Lepisosteus oculatus: one gene and its partners. The protein of the gene in region 3 binds, or shares a complex with, the protein of the main gene of each other region. Links are inferred from orthologs where the notes say so. Each region holds a gene or a part of one and is shown on either strand. Other genes may lie near its edges.

What was found. The genes of interacting proteins can lie anywhere in the genome.
Region 1: the proteins of A-type potassium channel modulatory protein KCNIP2 (region 3) and kcnd2 are in contact, whole or in part, in a cryo-EM structure (PDB 7UKH), measured with the Homo sapiens proteins. The link is inferred for Lepisosteus oculatus from reciprocal best matches to the Homo sapiens genes KCNIP2 and KCND2. Residues at the interface, in NP_775283.1 of Homo sapiens: Arg112, Gly113, Phe114, Asn116, Glu117, Cys118, Val123, Phe128, Ile131, Tyr132, Gln134, Phe135, Phe136, Tyr144, Leu148, Phe152, Phe165, Leu169, Ile172, Leu173, Arg180, Trp183, Ala184, Leu187, Tyr188, Met201, Met205, Ile208, Met211, His228; in NP_036413.1 of Homo sapiens: Val5, Ala7, Trp8, Leu9, Pro10, Phe11, Ala12, Arg13, Ala14, Ala15, Ile17, Gly18, Trp19, Met20, Pro21, Val22, Ala23, Ser24, Gly25, Pro26, Met27, Pro28, Ala29, Pro30, Trp55, Asp57, Arg61, Arg100.
Region 2: the proteins of A-type potassium channel modulatory protein KCNIP2 (region 3) and kcnd3 are in contact, whole or in part, in a cryo-EM structure (PDB 7W6S), measured with the Homo sapiens proteins. The link is inferred for Lepisosteus oculatus from reciprocal best matches to the Homo sapiens genes KCNIP2 and KCND3. Residues at the interface, in NP_775283.1 of Homo sapiens: Arg112, Gly113, Phe114, Asn116, Glu117, Cys118, Val123, Phe128, Ile131, Tyr132, Gln134, Phe135, Phe136, Tyr144, Leu148, Phe152, Phe165, Leu169, Ile172, Leu173, Arg180, Trp183, Ala184, Leu187, Tyr188, Met201, Met205, Ile208, Met211, His228; in NP_001365898.1 of Homo sapiens: Val5, Ala7, Trp8, Leu9, Phe11, Ala12, Arg13, Ala14, Ala15, Ala16, Ile17, Gly18, Trp19, Met20, Pro21, Val22, Ala23, Asn24, Cys25, Pro26, Met27, Pro28, Leu29, Ala30, Pro31, Asp33, Trp54, Arg60.

The regions. Positions count from the first base shown.
Region 1 is NC_090702.1:40,358,241-40,368,942, reverse strand, and holds the start of kcnd2 (A-type voltage-gated potassium channel KCND2), read left to right. Parts: upstream 1-6,565; 5' UTR 6,566-7,102; intron 7,103-7,411; 5' UTR 7,412-7,502; coding exon 7,503-8,614; intron 8,615-10,702. UniProt on the Homo sapiens protein: Voltage-gated potassium channel that mediates transmembrane potassium transport in excitable membranes, primarily in the brain. Mediates the major part of the dendritic A-type current I(SA) in brain neurons.
Region 2 is NC_090700.1:31,939,877-31,950,467, forward strand, and holds the start of kcnd3 (A-type voltage-gated potassium channel KCND3), read left to right. Parts: upstream 1-6,454; 5' UTR 6,455-6,958; intron 6,959-8,917; 5' UTR 8,918-8,991; coding exon 8,992-10,097; intron 10,098-10,591. UniProt on the Homo sapiens protein: Pore-forming (alpha) subunit of voltage-gated A-type potassium channels that mediates transmembrane potassium transport in excitable membranes, in brain and heart. In cardiomyocytes, may generate the transient outward potassium current I(To).
Region 3 is NC_090699.1:44,615,295-44,626,237, forward strand, and holds the start of A-type potassium channel modulatory protein KCNIP2, read right to left. Parts: upstream 5,112-10,943; 5' UTR 4,826-5,111; coding exon 4,747-4,825; intron 1-4,746. UniProt on the Homo sapiens protein: Regulatory subunit of Kv4/D (Shal)-type voltage-gated rapidly inactivating A-type potassium channels. Modulates channel density, inactivation kinetics and rate of recovery from inactivation in a calcium-dependent and isoform-specific manner.

The DNA of each region.
Region 1 (10,702 bases), on a different chromosome or scaffold from region 3:
ATCTCAAATTTCTCTTCCCCTGTTACCAGATTCTGATTTCAGAAATCAGAAAATGTCTTCACAATAAATTAAAACCCCTACTGTTTTGTTTACTTGGTGAGAGGGAGTTCTTCAATAAACAAAATATTTCATTTTTTTGTCATTTTTCATTGTCATTTCCCAGTAAAAAGTAGTTTTCCCCCCTTTATGTTTTTGCATGTATTGAGTGAAGCAAATTGAAAAAAAAATTTCAATACATTAAAAAGTCTAGTTGTAAACAATATTTGCAGTTGTTTTGGGGGGAGACTTCTTTATAAAGACATTGAAAGTGCTTATGTTGGCAAATCATTTGCATCTTTTTTACAATGTAGGTAAGCTGTAAACAATGAAACAATAAAACAGATTATATTTATATTTAAAAGAGTATAAATTAATTTAAAGGATACTGTACCATATTGAATATCTTGAGGTGAGTCCACTTCCTTTTGGTTTTCACCTGTGGCAAAGCTAGAACGTTTGGTTAAGTTAGTTCAGGAGTCAGTCCTGAAGTAAAGCACTGAGAAATACCTGTGCTTAACTGTTGATTTAGGTATAAAATGGTGATATTTTCCATAGATTAGGGAAATATGCGTCCATGTGGTTTAGCCATTCCCCAGTGAATTTACTCTTCAAGGAGCTTGGTCTCTGCTGGGAAAGGAGGTGGGAGGTCTCAGGTGAACAATACAACTTCTGACTCCAGTTCTGATTTAAGGAGCAGCATTAAGGTTTAGACATTAAAATGGGAAAACAAGCAGTCACTGGCTAGTTTAAGGACCATATTAGTGTGGGACAGTATCGTTCTCATATCAGGGTTGATTTGGCCTCAGCTTCAGCTTCAAAATCCCATGTAGTTCAGGTGATCAAAGTGAATAGATCTTTCCCACGAGCCATTTCAATGCACAGATCTCTTTGGGCTAGAGCTGGGAAACACTCAGAGGATGTTTTATTCAGAAAAACAATCAGGGGCTTATGGACTGATCCCTCTAGTAAGACCTTGTTGGTTTATCTTTATCTATCCTCATGCTCTATTACTTTGCTCGCCAGATATTTCAGCTTAACTCCATCTTTTTTCTCTGTTATTCACCTGGGGAGGAGTCTAATTTAGAACAATTTTGCTGAATAGTTATTGTCAACACGTTCTTCACCACTAATACAATCTGAGAAGTCCCTGATGCCTTCTCGACTCTCACATCTTCCATAGGCTGATCCAAAGCTTTCTGCTCCAGAACAGCTATTTTAGTCAGTTCTGGATGGTTAAACTCTTTCAGCATCTGCATGTTGGAGAAAAAGGAGATGAGTCCATTTTCTTCTGTGCCTTTACCATCCTTGATCACCATAAACAAACCTCCAAAAAGATATCTGGTGACTAGAAAATAGGGGAGTCTTTGTGTACCATGCTGAAACCTTGGTCACATGATCTCCCCAATGATTTATTTCTTATTGAAAGCATAATTGACCACAGTCTGTTGAGCAAAATACAGTATGTTAAAGAAAGGACAATTAAAGGTCTTTCTCCTAACCCTGGTGCAGTGGAATTAGCTATTGGTACAACAACTTCAAAACTACCTGACTGCAATGACGTACCAGTGTTTGCTAACACTTCAGAGGAGATTACAAACAACTTATGTTATATGTCTCACAACATGTCAGGATGTGAACTGTTGCTGGTAAGAACTGATCTTTATTTGACCAGGTTGCGTCATGTTTTCAGCCACGCAAAATAACCAAACAGGTAGAAAATCCAAAGATCTACAGGGAATTCAGTAAACAGAATGTGAGCAGGCACTACTGATAATCTAGTATTATTAAAAATATAAATATTAATATTTAATATTAATTATAATATAAATAATTAATAGGCAAATAATTCTCCTGAGAGCTGCCAACAGGGGCCTAAGAGAAAGCAAACTGTATAGCATATCTAACAATACTACATAGATCTGAGAGAACCACTATGAGAGTAGATTAATACATGACAGGTTGAAGGGGAAAAACGTATAATACAGTACATCTTCATCTGTGGAAGCCCAGGGCAAATAATATATCACATTAGTTTTCTTATATTAGCATAATATTAACACTGTTTAAATGAATATAATTCCATCCTGGAATATATACATATACAGTGCCTTGCGAAAGTATTCGGCCCCCTTGAACTTTTCAACCTTTTGCCACATTTCAGGCTTCAAACATAAAGATATAAATTTTTTATTTTATGTGAAGAATCACCAACAAGTGGGACACAATTGTGAAGTGGAACGAAATCTATTGGATTTTTGAAACTTTTTTAACTAATAAAAAAATGAAAAGTGGGGCGTGCAAAATTATTCGGCCCCCTTGCGTTAATACTTTGTAGAGCCACCTTTTGCTGCGATTACAGCTGCAAGTCGCTTGGAGTATGTCTCTATCAGTTTTGCACATCGAGAGACTGAAATTCTTGCCCATTCTTCCTTGCAAAACAGCTCGAGCTCAGTGAGGTTGGATGGAGAGCGTTTGTGAACAGCAGTTTTCAGCTCTTTCCACAGATTCTCGATTGGATTCAGGTCTGGACTTTGACTTGGCCATTCAAACACCTGGATACGTTTATTTGTGAACCATTCCTTTGTAGATTTTGCTGTATGTTTGGGATCATTGTCTTGTTGGAAGATAAATCTCCGTCCCAGTTTCAGGTCTTTTGCAGACTCCAACAGGTTTTCATCCAGAATGGTCCTGTATTTGGCTGCATCCATCTTCCCCTCAATTTTAACCATCTTCCCTGTCCCTGCTGAAGAAAAGCAGGCCCAAACCATGATGCTGCCACCACCATGTTTGACAGTGGGGATGGTGTGTTGAGGGTGATGAGCTGTGTTGCTTTTACGCCAAACATATCGTTTTGCATTGTGGCCAAAAAGTTCCATTTTGGTTTCATCTGACCAGAGCACCTTCTTCCACATGTTTGGGGTGTCTCCCAGGTGGCTTGTGGCAAACTTTAGACGAGACTTTTTATGGATATCTTTGAGAAATGGCTTTCTTCTTGCCACTCTTCCATAAAGGCCAGATTTGTGCAGTGTAAGACTGATTGTTGTCCTATGGACAGACTCTCCCACCTCAGCTGTAGTTCTCTGCAGTTCATCCAGAGTGATCATGGGCCTCTTGGCTGCATCTCTGATCAGTCTTCTCCTTGTCTGAGCTGAAAGTTTAGAGGGACGGCCAGGTCTTGGTAGATTTGCAGTGGTCTGATACTCCTTCCATTTCAAGATGATCGCTTGCACAGTGCTCCTTGGGATGTTTGAAGCTTGGGAAATCTTTTTGTATCCAAATCCGGCTTTAAACTTCTCCACAACAGTATTACGGACCTGCCTGGTGTGTTCCTTGGTCTTCATGATGCTCTCTGCGCTTTCAACAGAACCTTGAGACTATCACAGAGCAGGTGCATTTATACAGAGACTTGATTACACACAGGTGGATTCTATTTATCACCATCAGTCATTTAGGACAACATTGGATCATTCAGAGATCCTCGCTGAACTTCTGGAGTGAGTTTGCTGCAGTGAAAGTAAAGGGGCCGAATAATTTTGCACGCCCCACTTTTCATTTTTTTATTAGTTAAAAAAGTTTCAAAAATCCAATAGATTTCGTTCCACTTCGCAATTGTGTCCCACTTGTTGGTGATTCTTCACATAAAATAAAAAATTTATATCTTTATGTTTGAAGCCTGAAATGTGGCAAAAGGTTGAAAAGTTCAAGGGGGCCGAATACTTTCGCAAGGCACTGTATAATGTAATAACCATATACCGTATACATCACAGCAATTCATGGGCACTATACTAAATACAATTCAATTATTTATTCAAAACTTATTTATGTACTGTATGTTAAATATTATTATTTCTAGTAGCAGAGCATATGAAATAGGAATATTAGGAATAATTACAAGCTTCCAATTAAAAGGCACAATTAAAAAATAAATACACTAAATTTCCAATTTTATAATTAAAAGCTTAATAGAATTTCATTATTCAGATCTTTTCATGTGAAATATTAAAACAATAAATGCTCCCTTATATTAAAATAATCTAGTATTTTCCACCTTAGTCCTGAAAAGCCGAATTCTTCACTTAGTAGTTAATATGTTCTTCAGGAATAATTAACCCAGTAATTGTTACAATTAAAAATGTAATAAGCAAGAGTAGACACAAGCAAGAGGAGGCCATTCAGCCTAGCTGGTACATTTGGTAGTTAATTGATCAGAGGATCTCATCCAGTCATTTTTTTAAAGAAGCCTAAAACCTAAAACCTAAAACCTAAAGCCTAAAATGGTTTTCTAAACCATGGCTGGGTAGCTTGCTTTATTCTCCCATGACACTTTAGATAAAGACGTGTCTATTGTTCTTAGATATACTGTAAATAGTTGTAAATATTGTAAATTGACATAGTTTCCACTTGTGAACTCTGATTTGTGCTTCACTGTTAATACTTATAATGGATACCTACAATATAATAAAGAAACCAGTGCCAATGCATAAGGATTAATGGGCACTTGTTACTGGATTTTAAATATGTATTTTACAATATTGACAGTGATAAAATTAAAAAGCCCCAAACAGACATTCTGCTCACAACAATAAACAAACTACAGTATAGTTATCATTTTCAAATTAAGGAAGTCCAAACAGAATTTTCCATAATTCTCTTCAGCAGTTGCATAAAATCAACTTGCCCTACAGCCAAAATTGTACTGTATAACACAATTTGGGAAATGCTATATCTCAATTCCTCTGAAGGTTCACTTCAATCCAAAAGTCAAAAGTAAAGTTAAATACAATCATTTTGAATTAGAATTGGTAGCATTGGTAGATGTATTCATCATGAGTGCTTCTGGTGCTATACAGTAGGTACTTGTGCACTCTTCTATATTAAAATTATTAAAAACAGCACGTTGTCCTGCAACCTGAGGAAGAGAAGAAATCAGTTTGACATTTTTGTCTACGTTCAAAGATTCAGAAAGTCACAAAGATAAAATGGGTGTTTACTGCGCTATTACACTTCTCAGTAAATAGAAGAAGTAAATAGAATAGCAAATTGAAGTAAAAAAGTTAGCAGATGGAAGCATTGCTCCCTAAAATAACATATTTGTTATATTGTTCCTATGAATAATGCTTAATGAAAATATTGTCTAACTAATGATACCATGACATTTGGTTATCATAAGATAGATTTTTTATCATTATAAAAATCATTTTGCAATAATACTAATCTGCTAACATTTGGAATCCTACCACACCCAAGGGAAATATTTTTCATTAAAATCCTGCCACATACAGATGAGACCTATCTGTGCAAAGGTACTGCATAGAAGGAGATTTCTTAATCATTTTTGTCTGTATGTGCTGTGGTGTTTTAATTATAATTGCATATCGCCCATCCCATATTGTTGTTACTTTAACAACTGCTATTTGCAGTACTATTATGACCACTAAGAAGAAGAGGAAAAAAGAGATTTATTGGAAATTAAATGACTATCAAATAATTTAAAAATACTGTCTAATCAATGAAGGCAGTTCACGTGATGTGTATTTTGATTTTTCAGCTTACTTTTTGTAGCTGATATTGACATTATTATGGCAGGGGAAGGTCTTCACACACATGCACACATATTGCCAGAGGGAAGAGGGGCAAATAATAAAACATGAATACAAGCTGTCTTGAACTCTGTGGAGGCTGCGAATGTGGTCAATTGGCAAAACAGATGTCAATAATTTTCTTTTTATCAATGCAATTGGACTGAAGCAATTGCGCTAGAAACACAGAACAGCATTTTGTATCATTAAATTCTAACCTTTTCACTTTCTTAAAAATGATTAAACGATGCCTCCACAACCCCTCCTACTACTATTGTTATAATAATTATTAATTGCAGTGGCAACACAAACCATTAATGTTCTCAATCTATAACACAGATAAATTACTTGCTTAAGTGAGGATCCCTAAGGCAGTATTATGACAAGATCAATTATATATTATACGTTATAGGCGACTATTGAATCAATTCATGGACAGCTGGGAATTAATGCCCATTCCTTAATACAGTGTTTGAGCTTCATACGAATCTACAGTAGGTTCATACCTTCTTTTAGTGATTTAGTGTCTAAATTAATGGCTGTCTCCATCTAGTGGCATTTTATTTTATTAAGCATGTATTTGTATCTGAGATATAGATCAACAACTTGTGTGCATGAGAAATATTGTTGCCTGTAGAATACAACTGTAAAAAAAAGCAATCTCTGTCTATTTTATGTTTTGCTGCGTTGTTTTTAGCGCCCGGAGCGAATAGTTTCAATGTGTGCGTTTCCTATAACACGAGGAAATATTAAAGAAAAAAGCACCAAACCTGCTTGTTGTTTGCTCTCCTTGGTGCTGAATCACATTCTAAGTAATCTGCTTACTATTGAACATATTTTCTTAACAAATGAGAACAAAATATACTGTAGTATCCATAAGAGTTAATTGATGCTTGTAGCACATGACACGCCTCCGTTTTCTACAGAACACAGAGCAACTTGTGCACACTACTCTTGTTCGTGTAGACTGAACGGGCAAATAGAAGAAGCGACCGACTTAACTTGTTACATTTCTTCAATTCATTGTATCCGTGCATTGATTTCGCTTATTTCCATCTATTGGATTTTGTGACATTTCCAAAGCTACAAGCTTTAATAGCCTGCAGTTATTTTTTTTTTGCTTTTTTTCAGCCCACTGTGCAGGTTTATGAGAGGTGGTCCTTCAGCCGATGAGAGAAGCTGAGCACAATATACAAGCAAAAACTGAAAAAAACGTTATCGTGAAGAACACAAATAAGAAAATAATAAGGCACGTTCTGTGTTGAGAGCAAGGAATGATTTTAACATAATCAGACGTGATTGAATTTCTCCTGAACTTGTTGCTGCTGTGTTCACACCTTACCGTGCATATCCTGTAGTTCTGGTACTAAAATACAGGTTTTTTTTTTCATGTTAAATGAACAAAACGGATTTCGTAAGAACACGAGAAAGGAGAAAAGGAAACTCTATGCGTTTATTTTCAAATCCATCGACTTTCTGTGGAGGTACGTGTAATTATTATTATTATTATTATTATTATTATTATTATTATTATTATTATTATTATTATAAACGATCATATCAGAGTGTTTTAATTCCAACTGGACTGCAACTTACGTATCTTGATCGATATCAGTTATTACACTGCATGTGATTCACTGTTTGCTTTAGTGATGCTCAACCTGCTTGCTTGCTGACCATAAAAGTAATACAGAAAGGAACATGAAAAGTCCAGACGAAACAACAACAGCTGTATCTCTGTAACATTTTCGTTGTGATGCTTGTTCTTACTTTTTTTAACCCTGTTTTTGTAGATGACCTTTCGTCAACTCGCTGTAGTTTTTTAATCGCCGAGGGAGATCTGTAATCTGATTTAGCTGGTGTTCGTGTGACAAGCAGGTCAGAATGGCAGCGGGAGTAGCAGCCTGGCTTCCCTTTGCCCGAGCAGCGGCCATAGGATGGATGCCAGTGGCCAGTGCACCTATGCCACCACCCCCACGAGAAAAACGGAGACCACAGGATGGTCTTATCATCCTTAATGTCAGTGGAACGAAGTTTCAGACCTGGAGGAATACTTTGGAGAGGTACCCAGACACCTTACTAGGAAGCACGGAGCGGGACTTTTTTTTCCACGAGGAAAGTAATGAGTATTTTTTTGATAGAGACCCTGACATTTTTAGACACATACTTAATTTTTATCGCACTGGCAAACTGCACTACCCACGGCATGAATGCATATCTGCCTATGACGAGGAACTCGCGTTTTTCGGCATAATCCCTGAAATTATTGGTGACTGTTGCTATGAAGAATATAAAGACCGCCGGCGAGAGAATGCTGAAAGGCTTCAAGATGACGCTGACACGGAGAACAATAACGATGGAGTTGTGCCGGATATGACCTTGCGCCAGTCAATGTGGCGGGCTTTTGAAAATCCTCACACCAGCACTTTAGCGCTGGTATTTTACTATGTCACCGGATTTTTCATTGCTGTTTCCGTTATAGCCAACGTGGTGGAGACGGTGCCCTGTGGTTCTTTACCGAACAAAGTTAGGGATGAGCCTTGTGGAGAGCGCTATGCCTTGGCTTTCTTTTGCTTGGATACAGCCTGTGTCATGATCTTTACAGTCGAATACTTGCTGCGCCTATTCGCTGCACCTAGTCGATACAAGTTTGTTCGAAGCGTTATGAGCATCATTGATGTGGTTGCCATCATGCCCTATTATATTGGTTTAGTGATGACGGACAATGAAGATGTAAGCGGTGCCTTTGTAACCTTAAGGGTTTTCCGTGTATTTCGGATCTTCAAATTTTCCCGCCATTCACAGGGCCTGCGTATTTTGGGTTACACTTTGAAGAGCTGCGCATCTGAGCTAGGATTCTTGCTCTTCTCCCTGACAATGGCTATTATCATTTTTGCCACGGTGATGTTCTACGCAGAGAAAGGATCAACAGCCACCAAGTTCACCAGCATTCCTGCTGCTTTCTGGTACACCATTGTCACCATGACAACACTTGGGTAGGTGTTGGGTCTGGTAATGCTTTATTCTCTTCACTCCCATGGTAAAATGTATGTGAAGTTCATTTTTATATATCAAAAGGAGAACATACTCGCAGCTCCGCCTTGCCCCACCCAATCACTTCTAAAGTAGAAGTGACAAAGTTCTAACACAAAACATCCCCAGCCCATATAAAGGGTCACAATGCCTCTAGTGAAATATTGCATAATAATACCACTAACATGGGTTTTGACATCTGTTGTGACCTTGAAAGTTAATTTGTTTGTAACCATATGAAATAGACTCATCCTAGTTTTGACAATGATATGCTAAGAAGCCAATTTATGGATTATATTGTAGATCAAGTTAATTTCTGAAAGCATTTCTATTAAGTGCCATGCAGCAAGGAAATAGATTTTATTAAAAAGAAAATGTGACTTGTGGGTTTTTAAAATACATTTCCAAAGACCAAATACTAGTTGAATTGACTCCCTCTCAGCTTATGTACTCTAAACTGTATATTAGCCACATATTCATGTTGGTCTTTTCTTTATTAACGCTATTTTAAATTTTGAGAAAGCCAAAGTTGGAAGGCCAGTTAAGATCGCCCTGCTAATGTTATTCATGTAGTGTATTCTGCATAAAAGAAATGCAGAGAAAGATAAAAAAAGCCATCAAGAAAATGTCTAAATGTGGTTAGTGGTTTTTTGAGGTGCCGCAAAAGTGCTGTCAGTTCCAAGATATTCATTAGAACAAACAACACTCATTTATAAACCAGTCATATAGTGGACTTTGATGATAATTATGATGAGCTGAAGATTGTATGTATTTATACAATGTCCTGCAGAATACAGTAACAATAACTATAGTCCATCTGTGGGAAACATTGTGTGCTGTCCATGGTACTGAGTTTGTCTGTAGCATATTTTAAGTCCTGAAGATGAGAACTGAATGTGTAGCTAAGCTAACACATGAAATCAGTCATAAATCAGTATTATTGATGACAGACTCAAATAGTTATTCCAGATTGAATTTGATCATTCTAGTGTGCTATAATAAAATGTTTAGTTTTAAATATATGCATGCTTATGAACTAAGGAAAATGTCATAAATCAATATGTAGTCACACAAGAAAATAGATGCATTATCAGCAGAGCTCAATCACAGATTGTGTCTTGGGTTTCAGACTCAATAATATCAATATGAAAATGCAATTACTCCTCAACACTCAAAAAAGAACTAACAAATTTTGGGCTCTAGGGTAAATGCTGAGACAGTTCTGTAGAGCACGTTATTAATGAATTGTAGTATGCATCAATTTCCTTATTTATTAAAGAAAGGATAAATGAATAACTGTTTTTTGTGAAGTTATAAATAATATGTCAGAAGTGAAATGTGACTTACAACCTAAACAAATTTGTTTGTAGATGTTAATTTTTCTAACTCAATTTGCTGTAGTTAGTGCCTAATGTATCAAGTTTTATTTAATAAATACCTTATTTGACAAATGTATTCCAGACATTTTTAACAACAAAAAACATAGTGTTTGAAAGTAATGTACTATGGGGAATTGCTGTACAAATAAATCCTTAGAATCCAACATAGCATAAAAAGCTTTTGCGATAAGCATACACGCGTGAGGTACAACTCTTTATTCCTGAACAGAAAACACCAAGATAATGTACTGTATTTGAAGTTAAAATACAATGAGATGGGTCTTTGGTTCGAATTAGCTTTCAGAGATTGTACAGTCTTGGTTTATCTAGGTAGCTGGTTCCATCACTGTGGTGCAAGAGCGGAATGAGTGATGGACTGGAGGATGAAGAAAAGGAGCAATTCAAGTAGCCAGAAGAAGAATAGAGATGAGAAGGTGTTGTAAACATAGACAAAATCCTGGAGATAGGAGAGGAAGAGTGATGAAGAGTGCAGTAAGTAATTAACGTACTTGTTGAACCTACTCTGCACGCAGATCACGTTGGAAACTTTCTGTGGTGAAATATCTGCTGCACAACCAGTACGCATTCACTTGTACGTCACATTACACTAGTCTTGAAGAATGTGAAAAAGAGTGATTTTATAGGAGAGGTTGGGCAAACAAAATACCCTGT
Region 2 (10,591 bases), on a different chromosome or scaffold from region 3:
AGCACAAAGCAACCTTACTTAACTGCTACATTTCTATTTATGTCACCACATGCTACAGGATAAGCTAAATTGCAGAAAAACAGCTGGAGCCTACTTGATTAATGTTAATATTTAGAAGACTTCAATCAAGTGCCCCACCAACCATAGGAAGTGCAGTATTTGTTACACACTGAACGGAGCTGCCTCATTAATTTGTTTTCTTGATAAATTTTAGAACAGTCTTGAAATCTGAGGGAAAATATACTTTACATAAGAGCAAAACTGTTTGCTTGTTAAGGCATTATCCCACCTCTGGAGTACAATAAGTTTAGCTTGTAGTTAGTTTTAATTTCAGCCTCCTGCTTAGTATTTTTTCATGAGGTATTAATTCTGCCTGTTGGCTATTGGTTGCAGAAACTTGCATGCTTTATTTCTAGAAAACGTTTGAATTAAAACTTACATGCTGATCAGTGCATTATCTGCGTGTTCTCAAATTGCACAATTCATTGACAGTTGGTTAGAATTAATAGAGTCACCATACATCACTTATCATCATCACATCACAATCTGTAGATGCAAAGTAATTTAAGAAAGCAAGAAAAGTTCAAATCAAAAGGTGGCTGTTCTGTTTTGCTTAGTGGATTGTTAGCAGCTACTTGACCTGAGGATCTCATCCAGCCATTTCTTGAAGGATCCAATGGGATCAGGCTTAAAAAAATATTTGGGTAGTTTGTTCCAGATCTCCTTGGATACTGTAAAAAAAAGTATTTGCTGTTTACAGTCCTAAACACTCTCACTGCAATGAAAGCTGTGAGCCCTGTGCTTGAACTTGAACTTGAACTTTATTGCCATATGTAACCGGTACAATGGAATTCTTACTTACAGAAAGTCTCTCTATTGTAAAATAAGTGTAAAAAACAAGACAAAGTGCAAACAGTGCATCAAGACAATGTACAAACAAACAATAGACAATGTGCAAGTAAACATGTAGACAGTTTGAATGTAAACAATACAGACGTGTAAACAACTGGAGATGTGCAATAGATAAGAAATCATAAAGAGCTTCACCTAAGCTTCACCTCTTTGGGGATTTCTGTTCCCTCTCCGTACTCTTAACAAGCTCCTTTAGAGGCTGGAAAGGAAGAGTCCCTATACGCAGTTTTGTTTAAATAGATAGCACCCTTTTACATTATGTTCCTAAACTACTAGTGAAAGGACTGTGAGACCAGATTCATGAACTAATAAAAACAGGCTTAAGCTCAGAACACAAAAGAATTGCATTGCAATGTAGATGGCCGCAATTGCTTTCAGTTGACCTACCTCAACATCTCTATCAGTGCTCACACTCCTAAATACTAATTATTCTTTTTCAGGGCAGGCAAGTCAGCTATTCTGCATAACCGAAAACACCAAGCCTGTCTCATGGTTTCAAAAGAAGCTCAAAATGATTCCCAGCATGCAAAGCGCCCTTGTCGTGTCATGTCTGCCGCTCAGTCTGGAGAGCTGTCTGGTGTTCTTGTGCCTGCTTTTTTGAGGTGGAGTGCTCAGAGCTGATAAAAGTCAAACCCTGCATTTTTCAAAAAACGAATGTGCCTTCATTGGTAAACTTAAAGGATGTGGTTGGGCTCAGACATGCTGTCTTCTTAAATGGTGACAGATTAAAGTCTAGATTTTAATCTGCCCTGAGATTGCAATGTAAACCTGTAGATACACTACTGAGCAGATAAAGGAATCTTAGGGTTTCGTGATTTGCAAGGGTCAATGTTTTGATTTAATATGGGCCTTACGCATACGTACTAGCACAGACAGCAGTCTAAGTATGAGTGCTGAATTTGACAGTTTTTATCTGAGCTTTAAATTGGAAACAAAAGTTAAAACAACAATATTGGGTGATTTTGTCAACATAAAAGGAAAGAGAGCAGCTACATCATTCAGGCCTTCTAGGACCATTGCTTAAGGGCAACATTACAGCAGGCTTTCCACATATTTTAACACCACAGACATTTCAGACCATGGTAAAATGTAAGACATAGGTGAGCTGATTAACTCTCCTCCTGAGGCCTCGTGCTGTATGTTTAAGTAAACCAGCTGGGCGTTGTCCTTGAGGACCAGAGCTACAGTAGGTTTAGTCAGTAGGGCTGAAGCTCCTTAAAATGGATGAATTTTAGGGGTGTCCTGTTCATGTGTGTCAACTGACTGTAATTTTTATCACCCAAGAGAGGAGGCACAGGAAGTGGAGGAGTCTAGATCAAACTGTCCTGGCAGGTGTTTGAAGCCACTCACTACTCTGAGAAAAAACAAGTCAGACTTGCCATATTGATGAATCTGTTACTGTAGTGTAATATACACTAAGTGTACAAAACATTAGGGACACCTGCTCTTTCCTTGAAATAGACTGACCCAGTGTATCCAGGTGAAAGCTATGACCCCTAATTGTTTTTACCTGTGAAATCCACTTCTGTCAGTGTGGATGAAGGGGAGGAGACAGGTTAAAGAAGGATTTTTAAGGCTTGAGAAAACTGAGACATGAGTTGTGTATGTGAGGGAGATTTAAGTGCCCTTGAATAGGGTATGATGGTAGGTGCCAGGTGCACTGGTTTGAGTGTGTCAAGAACTGCAATGCTGATGGGGTATTCAAGCTTTACAGTGTCTTGTGTGTATCTGGAATGGTCCATCACACAAAAGGCATCCAACCAACTGAAGGCCAGTGGTCAAAAACAGCTCATTGATGAAAGAGGTGAAAGAATCATTCAACATGAATTGTGCTGATCAACAGACTGTATACATTTTGTCAACTGACAGTCCAGTGCATCACTGGTGCTGAAATACCAATAAAACAACACACAACTCGTTGCACCTTGACACAAATAGGGTATGGCAACTGACAACCTTACAGAGCATCACTTCCTTCAGCCTGCTGTTGTATGAGGCTCAGGGATTAAAACATTGGACACTGGAAAATTGGAAAAACACTGCCTGGTCTGATGAATCCTAGTTCCTACTTTTTCACTCTGATGTGAGTACTAGGTATGGAGAAAACCACATGAGTCCATGGATCCATCAAGCCATGTTTTAAAATTGCAAACTGGTGGTGGTGATGTGATGGTGTGGGGTGTGTTTTCATGGCACACATTGGGCCCCTTGATAAAAATGGAACAACATTTGAATACCACAGAATATCTGAACATCATTGCCGATCAGAAGCTTCCATTCATGACAGCAGTGTATCCAGCTGTGAATTGATGTTTTTTTTAGCAAGATAATGCCCCATTCCACAAGGCTAAGATTGTACAGGAATGGTTCCACAAAAATGACAATGAATTCAGCTTAAAACAATGGTCTGGCCAGTCACCAGATCAAAATCCACTTGAACATCTGTGGGATGAGAATGAAGATATTCAGAGTAGAGGCCCACTACCAACCAACTCAACACAACTGTGTGAACTGTGTGCACTGGAATTGAGACTGTTCTGAGGGTTCTGAGGGGTGCAACACAATTTGAGGAAAACATTCCTAATGTTTTATATATTCAGTGTAATATGTAACAATATAATATGTATCCTAGAAATGGGAATTATTATTGGGGAATTGAAATGTCCCAATAACCTACATTTTCTTATACTGTACGTCTATAAAGGTACATCTGCCACTATATTCTGCTGTGTCTGAATGTCCACAGGGTGCCCTAAGACCACCAGCATGTCCAAGTGGAGATTTCATATGTGCTGTACATATTGCAATCTTAACCCTAATGCTAACTACAGTATAAACTGTATTTACAATATTAATGGGGCATACTGTGCTGGAAGACCCAGTGTAGTAAGACCCCAGTTGTTAGTTCTGATACCTCACCAGTCCATGGTCCTGGGTTGGCTTCTTCGTGTCTCTGTGTGGTGTTGGCGGATTTATCCAGCATTCATATTGGTTTTCCCCATATGGTGTAGTTTTCTAACACCTCCCAAAGACACAATGTGTAGGCATGACTGGTTCTTCTAAATTGTCCCTTTTTCCTTGGTCCTACAATTGACTGGTGTGCAGGTCAATTGTATACAGATATCATGTGAGTTCATTATGCTTCTGAGATAGGCTGCATTTTGGTGCCTGCACCCCTTAAAATAGTAAAGGTTGTACAGTACACAGGGGTTTCTCCACTGACAATGACACAATAACCAAAGGAGCAGATTAGCTGATAATACATTGCTGCTAAAGAACTGAAATGGGAACTGCAGTTTTACACTGACATGATTGCTGTCCATTCCAGCAGGAGATTAATAATGTCTAACCTGAGGCCAAGGCAAATGTTTCATGAACACAAACTATTGGAAATAGTGTCCCTTCCAAAATTAATTTCATCACCTTTTTTCCCTTACTTAGGCAGGCAGGCAGTCACCAGTTGCATATTGATTTTTTTTGCAGACTAAAACTGAACCCATCATTTCAGATTCTATTTGAAGCACAAGGAAATAATACTCCTGAAAGATATTGCATGTGTATTTACAGAAACATTTACTGACTACTTTATTAGAATTTCCTCTTTATAATGAGTAAAACCACTCTCAGCATAGTTTGCGGCTGGAGCCCTGGTTTGGATCAATTACAACTTACACAGTGTTAGATTCCATGTTTTCTTGTGGCCGAAGCAATAAGCCACTGGAAATTACCCCCAAAACAATTTTCAAAACGGACAAGGTCTACAATTTGCCATTTGCAGGTGGGTCTTATTGCTCTGCTCAGATCCAATATCGTGTTACCAAAGCACCACAGCACCAAAAGGTGGCACCTTTTTAATAATCTCATGTCTGGGTCTTGGCAACTGACACCATACAGTATACAGTACAGTGCTCACTTGAAACTATGTAATGTACTGTACAGTATATATTGTTATAGCAGCAAACCCCGAGTCTTTTACATTCATAAGATACTGAGTCCACCCATGATATTGTAGCACCCCACCACCAGGAACAGTCTGTCTTGGAGCCTCTGAGCCCTCTAAATTGTATTTTGCAGAGTCATTTTCCCTCTATCCTCCTCTTTGATATGGGGTCCGTTTTTCCTTTTCTTTCTTTCTCGTGTCTAACCTCCCAAGCTGATCAGCTGCAGCTGTTAATCTCTCTCTCCTCCTGCCTCCTACCTGCCTCTCCTTCCTGAATGACGAGCACACCCCTGTACCTAAAATGGGCCAAAAAACTCAGTGATCTGCAGTTCCAGTCTCCTGCCTCTCTTAACACACTGCTGCCTGTGCAAGGGGGAAACCAGGGAAGATCTTTGCAATTTCTTCATCAGTCATAAAATAATTATCTTCTAACAGTTGGTAAGTCTGATCCTGGCACTTTCTGTGTGTTGCCTCTTGGATTCTCACAGTAGGATATTTGAACAACAGTCCTACACATCTGCCTACCATTGCAAATGGTAGAAAATATATTTTTTTCTTGTTTTTAGACCAGTTAAAAAAATCTAATGTGACACAAGACGTGGGCAAAGTTATCACAATCCAAATAAATATACCACTCTTAAGATTCTTTACATTTACACTGTATTGGTAAGGATTCTGTTAGCTGTTTTATGTTCAAAGGAGTCTAACCTGTAGCTCAGTAAGAATCTGCCACTCCAGGCTTCTCCTAACTACAGTAGATACTGTACGAGCCCAGCCAGCAATCTGATTAAAGTAATGATACGGAATACGGCTTTTCTCAGCTGTGGAGGTATGGTGATTGAATGTGCCTATTCGATCAGCTTGAAATAATGACTAAGATTTAGCAGTGGTCAGTACCAGCAAAAACAAATATGGTCATATACAGTACATAGATAATATATAGTAAAAAATGACAGAATTGTTTTATTGTTTTGAAATATCACCTGGAAAGATGTATTGACGCATTGATTTCGATTTGGGGCATTTTAAGAGCCTCGTCGAGTCCCACTATCCCCGAGACCGTAAAATCAATTTACATGGTAAATTTTCCAAATACGACGTATTTTTACAATACACCAAATGATTCGCATACACAAGCACCCATTTTTTTTTAATTACTACGCCAGACCACGTACAAGTAATTTACTCGTGATATGCAAAATGTTGGAGGCGTTATTTAGGTTGCCTGTGCTTCTTTTTTAAAGACGTGTCACAGTGGAAATCTGAAGGACGCACTGTGTTAGGCTATAAATAAACACATTTGTACAGTAGTAGACTAATACAATTACGCGTGTCAATTGTCAGCAAGGAAAACGCACTACGAGAGCCGTCAATGTTTACTGTTACCAAGATGCACAAAATGCCCCCAAAACATTGTATATACTGTATAGAAACAAAATGATCCTTCATTAAACGGTCATTTAAGAAAAACTAATATATATTTAAATAAAAAACCAACCCACAGACAGCCTCGCCTGTGTAATACACGAGCCAGGAGACGGCATCTTTAAGTGAGCGGACAGTGCCTCGGTGTGTTTCTCTGGTTTTCCTGTGTTCATGAAAGAAGCGTTTCGCCAGCATACTGTATAAAGGAGAGAAGGAAAGGGGGAAAGGAAAGGGAGAGGGGGGAGAGAAACCATCTGAGAGAGAGATAAGGGGGTAGAAAGAGCAGAGAGAGAGAGACTCCCTCTTCTGTCCATCATCCTAGCATCCTGCAAGGTGTCATCACAACATCCCAGCCTATCTGGGTACCATTACCAACTGATGGAGCGAAAGGAATACACGTTCACGCTGGAATCTCGAGCGCTGAATAAGAGACATTCAGCTAAAGCTATCTGACAGAAAAGGGGACAGAGTGACAAAGCTTTTGCATCCACAGTACGCGCGAGTTCACTTGTTTCTGATCGCCTCCTACTTGAATTTTTTTAATTCCTTAATTGTACTCTGGAGCTCACAAGGATTTGCGTCTCTATAAAGACAAGCAGCAACAATTTTCAGAGTTACTTTCCCGAAGGATAATCTTGTTTTTTTCTTTTTTTCTTTTTATTGGATCTTTTCCCCTTAGAGGTAAGTGTATAGAAAAGAAAAAGAAAAGTTTACATTATTTTATTAAGAAAGTTCGGTCGTAGACAGTATTATGTTGGTAATGTTACATGATGTCGTGCAGTATTCCGACATTCCAGTCACAATAAAATAGCATCTTCTTTTATTTTCATCGCGGGACTTTTGGAAACATGCTTGTAGATTCACATAGACTTAAAAAATTCTGTTGCCAGTTGTGCGTTCTTGTGATGAACATTTTTGGCAAACGAGGAACTCTTCAGAATAATTCAGAATTGCCTTTAGAATAGTAATAGCAGTAATAATTACAAGTCATTTTTTCAGAGCCGTTTTAGTTTTATATATTATATACATCAGTTTTCACCTGTTAAGTGTGCAAAACTCTGAATGGCCGTTCAACTTCGTTTATTTGTGAAACAGGATTCTGACGGCTTTTCATCACGATTTCGGTATTTGTTGATAGATGGGAGTATTTTTTCCACATCTTTCACAAATCATAGTCACAATCTAAGGGAGGAAAAGATGTTCTGTTTCTTCTTGTTCTTTGCAGTTAATGCTCAACAGGTATCGAACCCTCTAGTCGCATCTCGATCCCCCGAAGAGACATATTCTATCAAGGTTTGAGAGATTTTAAAACGTTTATGTTTACCGACAGTTTAATGTACCATCTCTTGATACCTTGGCATCTCTTGTTGAAAAATAATTTCCTGCGCTTCGCATCGAAGAGAACATAATTCCAAGCAGCGAAACCTGAGCCACATCGGCGTTGTTATGCCCAACGACTGCCTCGCACCGAGCAAGTGACTTGTTGAAAATACCAGCGCTGCCCTTTTATTCTAAAAGTGGCAACAATTTGCCTACACGTGGTTATTCTTGTCTTGTCAGCTGTGTTATCCGATGTACTGTAGGAATCGGTTACATAAAAAAACGACTCTGGTACCGGGACGTCAGCGCTTCAGGTCTGAGTGTGCGGATGCGAGCTGCACTACCCGCTCCTGTGAAAGACTGTTCGGTCCATTGCTGAGGAAAAAAAGGAATGCGTCTGTTGACCACAGACAACAGGAGTTCACATACTGTAGTTCATTTTAAGCACTTTAAGCCTGCGTGTCGCTTATACGACAGAACATACATATACATGTAAACTTTGCATCATCGTCATCTTGAAATCGTCGTAGTCGTATAATAATAGTATTATTAATAACAACAACAATAATAGCTGTTGTTTTGTTGGTGTTGTTATTGTTATTGTTATTATTGTAATTACATAAGCTCAAACCACGGTGAAATAGGTCCTTTAATCTTGTTCTCAGTTTGTGCATCCTAACACAATGTCTCTTCCAGCCGGTGACTCCACTGGGAATGTAAACATACACCAAGTACTGATGAGCCCAGATTGTGTCTTGTAAAACGGACAAGTGTTAGAATAAAGGACAAGGTGAATTTCGTGGCTGGTAAATTCAATAGGCAGGTCATTTTCTCTTAATTTATTCCTTAAAAACCCTTTCAGAAAATGTCTAACTCATTAGCCCTTCACACACTCTGATGAAATTTGTATTTCCTACATGATACTTATCATGACTTAGATCAATTTTTTCTATTATCTGTGATAACAAGTACAAGAAACAACTCATTAATACATTTATTTTGTTTTACCTAGGAATCCCTGAGATGTCATAGCAAAATCATAGCACCTGTGGTTCAGTTAGTCGTTTGGTGGAGAATAGAGGCTACCAATATACCTGCAACTTTATTTAACATTGTGCAAAACACTAAAATCATAGAAACAGCATGAAAGGAGCAAAGAATGGTAATCCAGCAAAGCAAAGGACACCATTTTGTCCATCTTGCTGGTATCTAATCATGATCGTGTCAAGCCATTCCTTGAAGTACCCCAAGGAATCGGGTAATAAATCAGATCACGGCCGTGACCAAAGTAACTGGTTTACCCATTTATTTTGCTCTTAGATGGTTCCCAACCTGAAGGCAAGCTGGTTTTAAAGGTGGAAGACTTTTTCCCCACGCCCCGAGCCGGAGTCACCATGGCGGCGGGAGTAGCAGCGTGGCTCCCTTTTGCCAGGGCAGCGGCCATCGGGTGGATGCCTGTGGCCAACTGCCCCATGCCCATTGCGCCCAGTGACAAGAACAAGAGGCAGGATGAGCTGATCGTGCTCAACGTGAGCGGGAGGCGCTTCCAGACATGGAGGACCACACTGGACCGCTACCCTGACACCCTACTGGGAAGCTCAGAGAAGGAGTTCTTTTACAACGAAGAGGCCAAGGAGTACTTCTTTGACCGTGACCCCGACGTCTTCCGCAGTGTTCTCAACTTCTACAGGACCGGCAAGCTGCACTACCCCCGCTATGAGTGCATCTCATCCTACGACGAGGAGCTGGCTTTCTTCGGCATCATCCCAGAGATCATCGGTGACTGCTGCTACGAAGAGTACAAGGACCGCAAGCGGGAGAACGCCGAGCGCCTCATGGACGACAACGACGGAGAGAATAGCAAAGACAACTTGCCGCACTTGAACTTCCGCGAGAACATGTGGCGTGCCTTCGAGAACCCCCACACCAGCACCATGGCGTTAGTCTTCTACTACGTCACCGGCTTCTTCATCGCCATCTCAGTCATCACCAATGTGGTGGAGACCGTTCCATGTGGCTCCTCACCCAATCTGAAGGACCAGCCCTGTGGGGAGCGCTACGCTGTGGCTTTCTTTTGCCTGGACACGGCCTGCGTCATGATCTTCACCGTGGAGTACCTTATGCGCCTCTTCGCTGCCCCAAGCCGCTACCGCTTCATCCGCAGTGTGATGAGCATTATCGATGTTGTGGCCATCATGCCCTACTACATTGGCCTGGTCATGACCAACAACGAGGACGTGAGCGGGGCCTTCGTCACCCTAAGGGTCTTCCGCGTCTTCCGGATTTTCAAGTTCTCTCGCCACTCGCAGGGCCTGCGCATCCTGGGCTACACCCTCAAGAGCTGCGCCTCCGAGCTGGGCTTCCTGCTCTTCTCCCTGACCATGGCCATCATCATTTTTGCCACTGTCATGTTCTACGCTGAGAAGGGTTCCTCTGCCAGCAAGTTCACCAGCATCCCGGCCTCATTTTGGTACACCATCGTCACAATGACCACCCTTGGGTAAGAGGCATTCTTCCTATACACCTTTTTCTCTTTCTCATTTTCCTCCTCTTTGTCTTTCCTTTTTCCTATAGTTTGAGCCTCACTGTATCTTGTTGAGCTGATGAAGATACTATCTCAACACCAAACCTGGTAATATCCTGGTACCTGGTAATCTTGGGTGAAATAAGACAGATATTCGATTAAAGCCATCATGACAAAGCTCTTCGCTTGTGTTTTGCTGGTGATTTGAATGCAGTGTGTCTGTGATTCACACAAGGAAGTTTGCAGTACTTGAAATGTGTTCTGTCCACATTTTACATCTGTGTGTCTTGAAATATTAATTCAGCACATTAAAGCCAAATACCAGCACTGCCTTTTTATTATAAAAGTGGCAACAATTTGCCTATACCACAACAGACACTTATAGAATTCAGTACTTTTATGTGCACTCAAGCACTAGCTTAGCAATTGTTTGTTCTCAGTTATGACACACAAGATCATTTTAATAAAAA
Region 3 (10,943 bases):
TTATTTTGCTGAAACTTGGAGAGACAAGTACAGATTCACATACAGGTATAGTGCATGATTTGCATGCATACACTTAAACCTGTATAAAACAGGACTATAATTATTGTTTTTAAGATCAAGATACCTTAGTAGAGGCACATTGAATCACTCCTTCAAATACATTATTGTGGTGAATGAACAGTGTCTGCTAGCCGTACATTTTAACCATAATTTTATTTTGTGAGTCTAGTGTTACAGTAATACTTAACTCATTTTAGAGGTACAATCCACTTGGTTAAGGCCAAATCAGTGGGTGCAGAGTTTACAGTAAGGGTGTACAGTAAACATATTTTGGTAAGGATGAGTGATTTTTCAGGGGATGTAGGGTAGGAGCTTTAGCAAATTCCACCAACTATTGTTGTGTGGCAATAAAGAATGATCTAATAAAGAATGATCTTCAGAATTGCATTATGTGCAAATTGACACACTTTTTGTGGTGCATTATGTGGCGAAAGCAGCAAAACAATAAATGTAACTAATTTTGAAATTAAATGGATTTGAGCTCTGAAATGATTTTTTTTAACCTGATTCAACCAGTGTGAAAGGAAATCTTGAAAGGCTTGGAAAAACTGGAACGCTTTCTGCAACGAATAACGATCACCCATGTCGCAGAAGCTGACTCCCTGGTATCCTTTAAGGACTGGGTGGATAACAGTCCGGAATCAATTTGGTTCTAAACAATCTAAACAGCAAGATGGATGCTATTGCCTCCCCTCTTTTGTCTTGAAGTTTCTCCCATATTTATTTCAGCAATTACGATCTGTCCTCTGATCTGTGGTAAGAGTTCCAATTAAATTTGAGATTTTTGCTATTGCATTTAACACAGCTAGGTTTACAGGTATTGAAATGCATACTATGACAGAAGACCTCATAGCTATAGACTGTACTTTGGTATGTTTTCTATTTGTAGCCAACCAAATGCTAAGATATACAGTATAATGAAGAGTGAAGAATTACATTAAGCAATGTTAGGTTACAATTATGCAATGTACTAATCAGACCTCATTTCTAATATGAGTACAGCTGTGGTCAGTACATTAGAAAGAAATCTTTGATGCCCTGGAAAAAGCTTAAAAACAGAAGGACTTGCTCGGGCATAATGTGGGTTATGTGAAGTTGAGTCCCTAGACCTATCCTGAAGCAGCTTGGTGTGATCTCATTTATTGCCTCTCTTATGCCCTTAAATTCCAGTATCTCAGTTCTAACATGGCCCTGGAGAGGTCTGGTGCTACAGGACGTGTGATATAGTGCCTGCTATGTCAGTGTCACTCACTGGGAGAGACCTGATGAACAGCTGTAACTGCCAGCACGCGAGGCTGCTCACCTCACATGCTCAGCTGTAGAAGACCCTCTCGACCTTCTCGGCTTTACAAGCCCATTCGTTTCCAGCTGTCTCAGAATAACTACAAAAGGACCAATTGTACGGCCTGAGGATTGTCCTTGACTTCTCTGTAATGAATACAGCCATATAGTCGCATATTTTCAAGGCAATTCTTGTGACACCAAATTAGGAATGTGAATCGTTGGCTCGTGCTTGAACTCTCTGCGATTGCCCTTGTACTATACCTAACAGAGCTGCTCTGTCCAGCCCTGTTCTGCATTTCCTTCACGGTTGCTCAGTAATGACAACAGCTGTAGCTCATTAGAGAGAGACAGGGAGGTCTGATTTATTAAGATCTTGATGAGCATTAGGATGTAACTAATGTAAAAGAGTCACAAAGCTCACTGTTACATATTATGGAAGTGTTCATGTTTGCCACAGTACTTCCGCATCAATGGTACAAATAATAAGCTTCTACAATGCAAAAGACCATGCTGCCATACAGTATATTACTCTGTTTGTGTCTGTTTCATTTGCTGTTTAGTGCTGTGTTTGTTGCAATTCTCCTCCTCATGGAATAACACTATTAAAATTGCATAAAAATCAATCCCTTAAAAAGGGTTGGCATGATGGTGCAGTGGTTAGCACTGCTACTTTCTAGGTTTTTGGTCTAAGGTTCAATCCCAGCCTAGGACTCCTTCTGTACACAGTTGATATATTTTCTGTATGTCTGTTTTATTTAAGCCTCTCTGCTTTCCTTCTACCACCCAAAGACACTTTATTTAGGTTAGGTGATGTCTACAAATTGTGTGTGTGTGTAGGCCTGTAAACTGGCATTTCATAGATGATATAGAGTACAGTAGTCTCACCTTATACTCTCAGCATGTGGGATAGGTCAGGGTTGCCACAGCTTTTGCCATAAATAAGCACCTTTCTCATAGTGGATAGATGGAAAGCTTAAAACAGTCTAACAGTGAATTTTAAACTCACTTCTTTCTGACTGGCAGGTTATTAAACACTGCATTTCAAATCTCTTCTGAAGATTGTGAATACCTATTTCTCCTGCAGCTCATACAAATAACACATCTCTAAAAGTTAGTGTTGGTGTTTGGGATACATTATATACAGTATATTAGTAAGGTAAGGATAAAAAATCCAGAGGCATGGCAAATATTAGCGATAGGGTTAAGGTTAGACAAGGGCTTGTGTGTAACAGTTAGTGGATGTTTAAGGACTCAGCAATAATCCCAAAGAGCTTTAAGGTGAACATTTTGAGAATGTGTTTGCTGATGAAACCTGCTGTCTACATAAAATACAATTAGGCTTTGTTAATGAGCATGTGCCCAGTCATTAAACCTTCTCTCGGGAATTTTCACATTAAAACCTGACACTTAGGTCAACAAGCCAAGAGGTAGCCATCACTAAACACAAAGAACACATTCACACACAGGATCAAGAACACCACCACACCACATGCAGTCAACCATGAACCAATGAAAAAAGCCAGCTTTCCAAAAGTGGAGCAATTTTGCTGACCTGGCTTTACATATTGTTCATCACTTTTTCAAGTTGAAGAGTGGTTCAGCTGACACTATCGGATTAACATCAATGGCAGACATTGGGGTGAAAAAATAAAAATCTCTTTCTTAAACTGCAGTTCAGGTACAATGCCCAAGTATGATGGGTAGAGTAAATACTGGAGTTCCACTTGCTGTACATATAGATCTTTGCTAATAATTGTTTTCATATGTGAAAATCTGCAAAACATCTGAAAGAAGACAAAATTTGAAAATGTACCAAAATGGGAACTACTGCAGACTTCTAAATACTGTAACTGCAGTTTTATTATAAACTGTAATCTATAGGCAGAAGATATATACTGTACTGTACATTAATTCAAAAATCTCTTGGAGCCTTAGAAACCGGACATGAATCACCAGGAAAATGAGAGCTGTAAATGAACAGGGTGACTGATTTGTGAATCAGTGATGTTTGGGGGGAATATTTACAAGATAATGCCACCCTATTAGTTGGCATGCATTCGGCTGTCCGGTATGTGACACTTTGTGTTCTATGTGGTGATGAAGCATCATTAAACAGATGCCTGATAAATGTAGAGACAAACATAGGGATAAATCATGAAAGACATCCGTCAATCATAGTGAAATACACTCCATTCTCAAAGCTAAGAGCTGTGCAGTAGGAACAATTGATAGGTCACAATAATTAAATGTCTGAGAACACATTCTGGTTCTATTTGACAAGCAGCTGTTTGTCTGAAAGAACAACAATAATTCTATGGCATCTTATAGACATCTTAAACTTCACCAGCTGCATACTATAAAAAGCCATTGTGAGTAAAATCACAGAAAATTACATTGCTCTTCAACAGTCTCAGTTTGTTCCTGTTTTTTGTTTTACTATTTGCTTCTCAAATCTTGTTTTTGAGTTTTCCGAATATTTCATTTGGTCTAAAACAGAGTTCATATTTCTTCTAACTCCTCTAAAATATGGTCTCTCCCTTATTTTAACTAGTTTACTAGTTAAATTATAAGAACTCTTTCCTGCTACACTAATGCTGACACCTGAAAACTGACATACAAAAGTATGTTTTGCTACAGTATATATTAGCTTAGTAATACTTTCAAAGCAATATGACTTGTACTCAGTGATGTAGATCATTTTTTAAAATTTTTTGGTACTTCTTTGAATTTTGATATGCATTTTGCCCTCCTTACTCTTTCAGTGAAAAATACACACAATCAACAGCAAACTTATCTGAAGCCACACCTCTGTTCAACTCCTCTCCAATACCTACTCCTGCCAAGCAAGAAGCTAAACTACAGTATCAGCTCCACGACATTGCAAATTTCATGGTTTTGCTGCAGCTAAATTAATTGGTTAATGCAAAAGAGCAGTTACCAGGAAGCTCGCGGTTCAAGTCCTAGCCCTGTTTCTGACTTCAGTGTGTCTCACCTCACATGGCTTATTTAACATCCGAACTGAGTTCTGAGCTGCATGGGAGAAACAATCTCCAAATCCTGTTGTACTGTACGACACTGTGCAGCAGCTGTTGCATATATTAAACCCAAACCTTTGCAAGTCTCTTTCACAAAAGCTGCTAATTCACTAAAGATGATTTGTGCTACCACTGTATGTACATTCTCCTCAAACCATATTGAACGAAATCTTCTTTTTTTTTATTTTCACAAAGAATTACGCATTATAGTTTTCAAAATTTCAATAAAAGCAAGTAGTCTATTTCCTTGTAGGTCATTGGCTAACAAGGTTAATTGATTGTTAGCACTACAGATACCTACAGGGTGCTCAAAGCACAGACTAAAGCTGTGAGTGCTACTACAGAATAAGCCATCTAGGAAACTTACTCCTCCCCCTCTTCCTCCCTGGGATCAGCACCTTCATGGTTTTGAAGAGCACTCCGGCAGTCTGTGGAATGAAGGCCATGTCTGAAGAAAAAAGGGATCAGAGCTCCTGGCAACTCTTCACTTCTCTTCCTCCAGCTTTTACCTCTCCGCCTCTGTCCCTGCTCATTTTTGCCTCATCGCCCCCCTCCCACACACCCACGTCACTTGGTGCCTGACAGGCCACGTGTCGTTGGTCACCGGGCTGTGGATTTATATCCTCATCACCACAGTGGAGCCGCGTCCAGCAGGTTCAGGCTGCGAGTCGTCACTGATTTACAAGGAGATGGCACGGGGACAGTCACCAGCCACAATCAAACACTCCCTCTGCTAATGGAACATGTCAAATTGCGGTAGACCTCCATTAACTGGTCCGCTGTTAGCCTAGTGAGGAAATGAGAGCTGGCTCATTTGATCACATACAATGAGATGCAAGCTCATACACATATACTGTATGTCCACACATATCCATGCCGATTATGCAATTACTCTCAATTACAGCTACCTGGTTCACAAAATCACCCCTATATTAACAAGTGACACCCAGTCAACTCTCTGTATTACATGCAGAAAAATGAGGAATGCTCTGATTTGTACCATTTAACAAAATATAAAGCAGAAGGTATTTACTGTACATATTAAGACTCAGATAAAAGCCATGTGTTGCTGTGCAAAAGTGTCTGCTTCTTGATGAGGCAGAAATGTCATCAATCAATCAATGATAATCTTGCTTCACAGGAATGGATGTTGTGTAATGAACTGTGATTGGAAAGGTCCTGTCAGGTGCCTGTGTTTTATTCTCCTTTGTTATAAGACGTGACGGGCTGAGAGGCTGGAATATAAACGGAGGAGTGTGGTGCGTGTCGAATTCTGTCCCAGTCATGTTGTTTTTTGTCTGCATAGAAGGCACTACTGCTGCCAGTGTCTGAGACATACTGTACTGCACCTTGATGAGACAATGTCAGCACACAAGTCAGTCCTCAAAATAAGTTAGGCAAGCAATAGTCTGTACTTTGATGACAGGCATCTGAAGAAAATGAGGTTGAAACAGTAGGTGGCAGGGAACTCTGTGCTGTAGGAAATGCAGCCTTTCAAACGAGACATGAAACTATGGACCTAGATATTTTTATTCATTAAATTCCCTATAGCATGATTTAAAATGTCTATTTTCTCTGCCTAATGTGTATATTTAAAATGGCTTTTGGGCACTGCCCCAGAGGGTGCTGCACTTCAATGGTGGATGAGATGACTTTCCTGTTAGTTAGTTAGAAAGAGTTTTGGGATGAAAATCACTACATGAACACTACAGTAGATGTTGTTATTTTAGGTAATGACTCAATGTACTCGGGATGGCGCCACGGTTAGTTGCAATGCTGCCTCATTCAATTCCAGACCCGAGGTGCTGTCTGGGTGGAGTTTGTATGTTTTCCCCATGTTTGCTTGTGTTTCCTCTGGGTGTTGTGTTTTTCTCCCACAGTCCAAAAACATACGAGAAGGCTAATTGACTTCTGGGAAAATTGGTCCTAGTGTGAATGTGTACAGTGCCTTGCGAAAGTATTCGGCCCCCTTGAACTTTTCAACCTTTTGCCACATTTCAGGCTTCAAACATAAAGATATAATTTTTTTTATTTTATGTGAAGAATCACCAACAAGTGGGACACAATTGTGAAGTGGAACGAAATCTATTGGATTTTTGAAACTTTTTTAACTAATAAAAAAATGAAAAGTGGGGCGTGCAAAATTATTCGGCCCCCTTGCGTTAATACTTTGTAGAGCCACCTTTTGCTGCGATTACAGCTGCAAGTCGCTTGGGGTATGTCTCTATCAGTTTTGCACATCGAGAGACTGAAATTCTTGCCCATTCTTCCTTGCAAAACAGCTCGAGCTCAGTGAGGTTGGATGGAGAGCGTTTGTGAACAGCAGTTTTCAGCTCTTTCCACAGATTCTCGATTGGATTCAGGTCTGGACTTTGACTTGGCCATTCAAACACCTGGATACGTTTATTTGTGAACCATTCCTTTGTAGATTTTGCTGTATGTTTGGGATCATTGTCTTGTTGGAAGATAAATCTCCGTCCCAGTTTCAGGTCTTTTGCAGACTCCAACAGGTTTTCATCCAGAATGGTCCTGTATTTGGCTGCATCCATCTTCCCCTCAATTTTAACCATCTTCCCTGTCCCTGCTGAAGAAAAGCAGGCCCAAACCATGATGCTGCCACCACCATGTTTGACAGTGGGGATGGTGTGTTGAGGGTGATGAGCTGTGTTGCTTTTACGCCAAACATATCGTTTTGCATTGTGGCCAAAAAGTTCGATTTTGGTTTCATCTGACCAGAGCACCTTCTTCCACATGTTTGGGGTGTCTCCCAGGTGGCTTGTGGCAAACTTTAGACGAGACTTTTTATGGATATCTTTGAGAAATGGCTTTCTTCTTGCCACTCTTCCATAAAGGCCAGATTTGTGCAGTGTAAGACTGATTGTTGTCCTATGGACAGACTCTCCCACCTCAGCTGTAGTTCTCTGCAGTTCATCCAGAGTGATCATGGGCCTCTTGGCTGCATCTCTGATCAGTCTTCTCCTTCTCTGAGCTGAAAGTTTAGAGGGACGGCCAGGTCTTGGTAGATTTGCAGTGGTCTGATACTCCTTCCATTTCAAGATGATCGCTTGCACAGTGCTCCTTGGGATGTTTGAAGCTTGGGAAATCTTTTTGTATCCAAATCCGGCTTTAAACTTCTCCACAACAGTATTACGGACCTGCCTGGTGTGTTCCTTGGTCTTCATGATGCTCTCTGCGCTTTCAACAGAACCTTGAGACTATCACAGAGCAGGTGCATTTATACAGAGACTTGATTACACACAGGTGGATTCTATTTATCACCATCAGTCATTTAGGACAACATTGGATCATTCAGAGATCCTCGCTGAACTTCTGGAGTGAGTTTGCTGCACTGAAAGTAAAGGGGCCGAATAATTTTGCACGCCCCACTTTTCATTTTTTGATTAGTTAAAAAAGTTTCAAAAATCCAATAGATTTTGTTCCACTTCACAATTGTGTCCCACTTGTTGGTGATTCTTCACATAAAATAAAAAATGTATATCTTTATGTTTGAAGCTTGAAATGTGGCAAAAGGTTGAAAAGTTCAAGGGGGCCGAATACTTTCGCAAGGCACTGTACATGTGTGCCTACCCTATGATGGACTGCTGTCCTGTCCAGGGCTTACCCTGCCTTACACCCATTATTGCTGGGAGAGTTTCTGGCTTCCCTGCGACCCTGAATTAGATAAAGTGGTTGGGAAATGAACTGACGGACTTTAAGTAGTTTTGAGACTCCCCTAATACTGCAACAGAATCAAATTAACCTGGGCTGTCTGTTCTCCCTGCACCTGCTGCGTCAGTGTTCACCAGACTCCTGGCTGGCACAGTGGCATTCAGAGCTCCAAAATCCCACAGCAGCTGGCATGAGCCATTTCTGTCTCCATTGGCTTCGCTGGCAGCAAGCTGCCAAATTTCACCATGACACTCAACAGGTGGCTGGCTAACAGACAGTGGCTCAGCAGGTGCTGATTGATCACCTGTCCTAGATTGTTGCCTTGCTTTCCTGTCACAGATTCACATTGAGGTTAGATCAGTTAGGGCAAATGCAATTCAAAACATACTTTTAAAATAGCATTTCCACAGGGGAAAACTATGATTTTAAGCCTGATCTTTCATCAGTTGCTAAGATATGCAATTATGTTTTTCCTTAACTTAGTATTGGCTGTCCTGTTTATCCATCTTCTCCAAAGCAACTTAAAACTGTTATCCACGTATACAAATGTCTGTTTTACTGAAGTGATTTCAGTGACATATAATGATCAAGAGTACAAAAGAATAATATTTTCTGTGATGTACAGTAAAACAAACAATTTTCTAGTTACAAGTCTTGAGTTCTTAAGTCCTACCTTACACTGAGGTTGCATCAGAACTAAATCAGCTCACATGGTGCTCTAAGTTCATGTTTAGCTTATATTTAGCAAAGATTCTGTTTCTTTGAGACTCTGGTTTCTTTTATTTTCTGTTACTAATTTTGGGAGAGCCAATTTTGGGTGTAGCTTGGGCAGACTAAGAAGCATTGATTTGGTATGAAAGTGTTTTTAATGAAGCCGTGCCAAAAATGTCTAATATTGTGATGAACCCAAAATAAAAATAAAAATAAAAAAAAAAGTTCAATTTAAACAAAACATTCAAAGCAACAAGAGCATTCAGTTCAACTAAAATATTCTGATTGCAGAAGTACTGTATTCACTCCCTTTACTTTGGCAAACTTAATTTGGCTCAGGTTCACAAATTACTTTGACACAAGGAGCCGATTGGCCCCTGCAAGTGCACACTAATATTAGTTAACTATTTTATAATTTGTAAAATGCACATTTGTAATCTTAATTTAAACTACATGGAAAGTAGTGTGAGTTTTGTACATATTGTAACTTCAAGGGTTACAATATTTGCAAGAATTACCTAAAAATAAAGCACAACTATCTTTTCTTCTGAACATTTTGTGCTACTACACCTACAGTACTTTAGAGGGACGTGTGTGAACTGGTACTAATGCATCATGGTGGGCACTTCAGCTCTAACTTGTACTACTTCAATACTAATACTGTATTTACTACTTTTTTCTAATATACTATACTAATATTGCATTCTCGACAAGAGTAGGTCGTTATCCCGGTGTCGGGGCCAAATTTCCCCCCTTGGCTTTTACCTTGGCCTCCAAATTGTCCCCATGTATGATTGGCTTGCACTTGCCCTGCGATGGACTGGCGCCCTCCAGGGTGTACCCTGCTTGCTGGGTAGGCTCCGGCTTCCCGCAACACCGTATAGTACAAAACGGTTTGGCAAATGACATGACGTAATTTCTAATATTTACTGATTTTTCACCATAGTGGAATCTCCTATTTTTTCCTCTCCTCCCAGTTTGCCAGAGTAGCACTGCTGTTAACAGGCTTTCTCTCTGCTGCTGGCTTGTCACAGAGGCCTGGCACCTAAACCAGGGTTCCTTTCTGGGGCTAGAGTCCAGATGTTGGCAGCTGCCAGTCCTGTGCAGTACACTGGAAGAGGGGATGAGGGAGGGGCTCTGAGCAAACCTCAGTTCCCCAGACATACTAAAAGCGAAGAGCAGATGGCCAGATCTGAGAATAACACCATGGGTTTTAATGTTTTTTAACCTCTTAATTTCTGCCCTGAATAAAATTGCTCAGCCTTTCTTTCAGCTAACAACAGGGGTGAAGGTTTTTCTAAAACTGCACTTTTGCTGCGTTTTGTTTCATAAACAGAAGATGTAGAGTCGAGAGAATACTCAGCTTAACCTTTATGTGCCACCAAGAAACCACTTTTCTGCACTTGTAAAAATGCACGCACAACAGTCTGATATACAGTTTAATACCGTAGTTCAACGGGGGTACAGTTCATAAAGACTAAATAAATAGACTGAGTGTTTTTCCAGGGAAATTTCAGAAATAACTAAAACTCACAATGTATACATCTACACATTGCTTTCCCCTTTTCAACACATCAATATCAACACACAACAAAATCAATATTTATCTGCCTGGTTCACTCCACTAGCTCACACACACCACATGCAGGCTGCAGAGAAACACTCAAAACTCTCTACTTTTGTTTTTAACACCTGTTCCACACACTGTCATACACACCAAGGACTGCTGAACAAGGTTTCAAGTAGTCTCCTGCATGACTTTCCACCCCTGCCTACTACTCTGTATGCACTGACTTCACAAGGAGGTTATATCACAAAACTCCCTATCGCAATGTCACAACCTTCTCTTTACACTGCTCCTTCAAGACCAGACTCTCTCACACATCACAGAAACTTCAAATCACATCTTAGAGGAAAGAGCAAAGCTGTTCCCTTTCAACCTGACCCTTTGTTTGTTTTATTAAAAAATGCAGTATTTTTACAAAAGTCTTTTCCAATGTATTTCTTTTTTTTTATTCTACACTCTGTGCTCTGACTTGGGCATTAAAAAACAGTTTCCATAGACGACAGCTGCAATGTCTATGGTACACCAAAGGGAAAACACAAAAAGCTTTCAGATTTCCTTTAGTGAGAACGCACAAGTAATAAGGATCCCCTTTATCTTTGCTTTAATTGAACTCATGG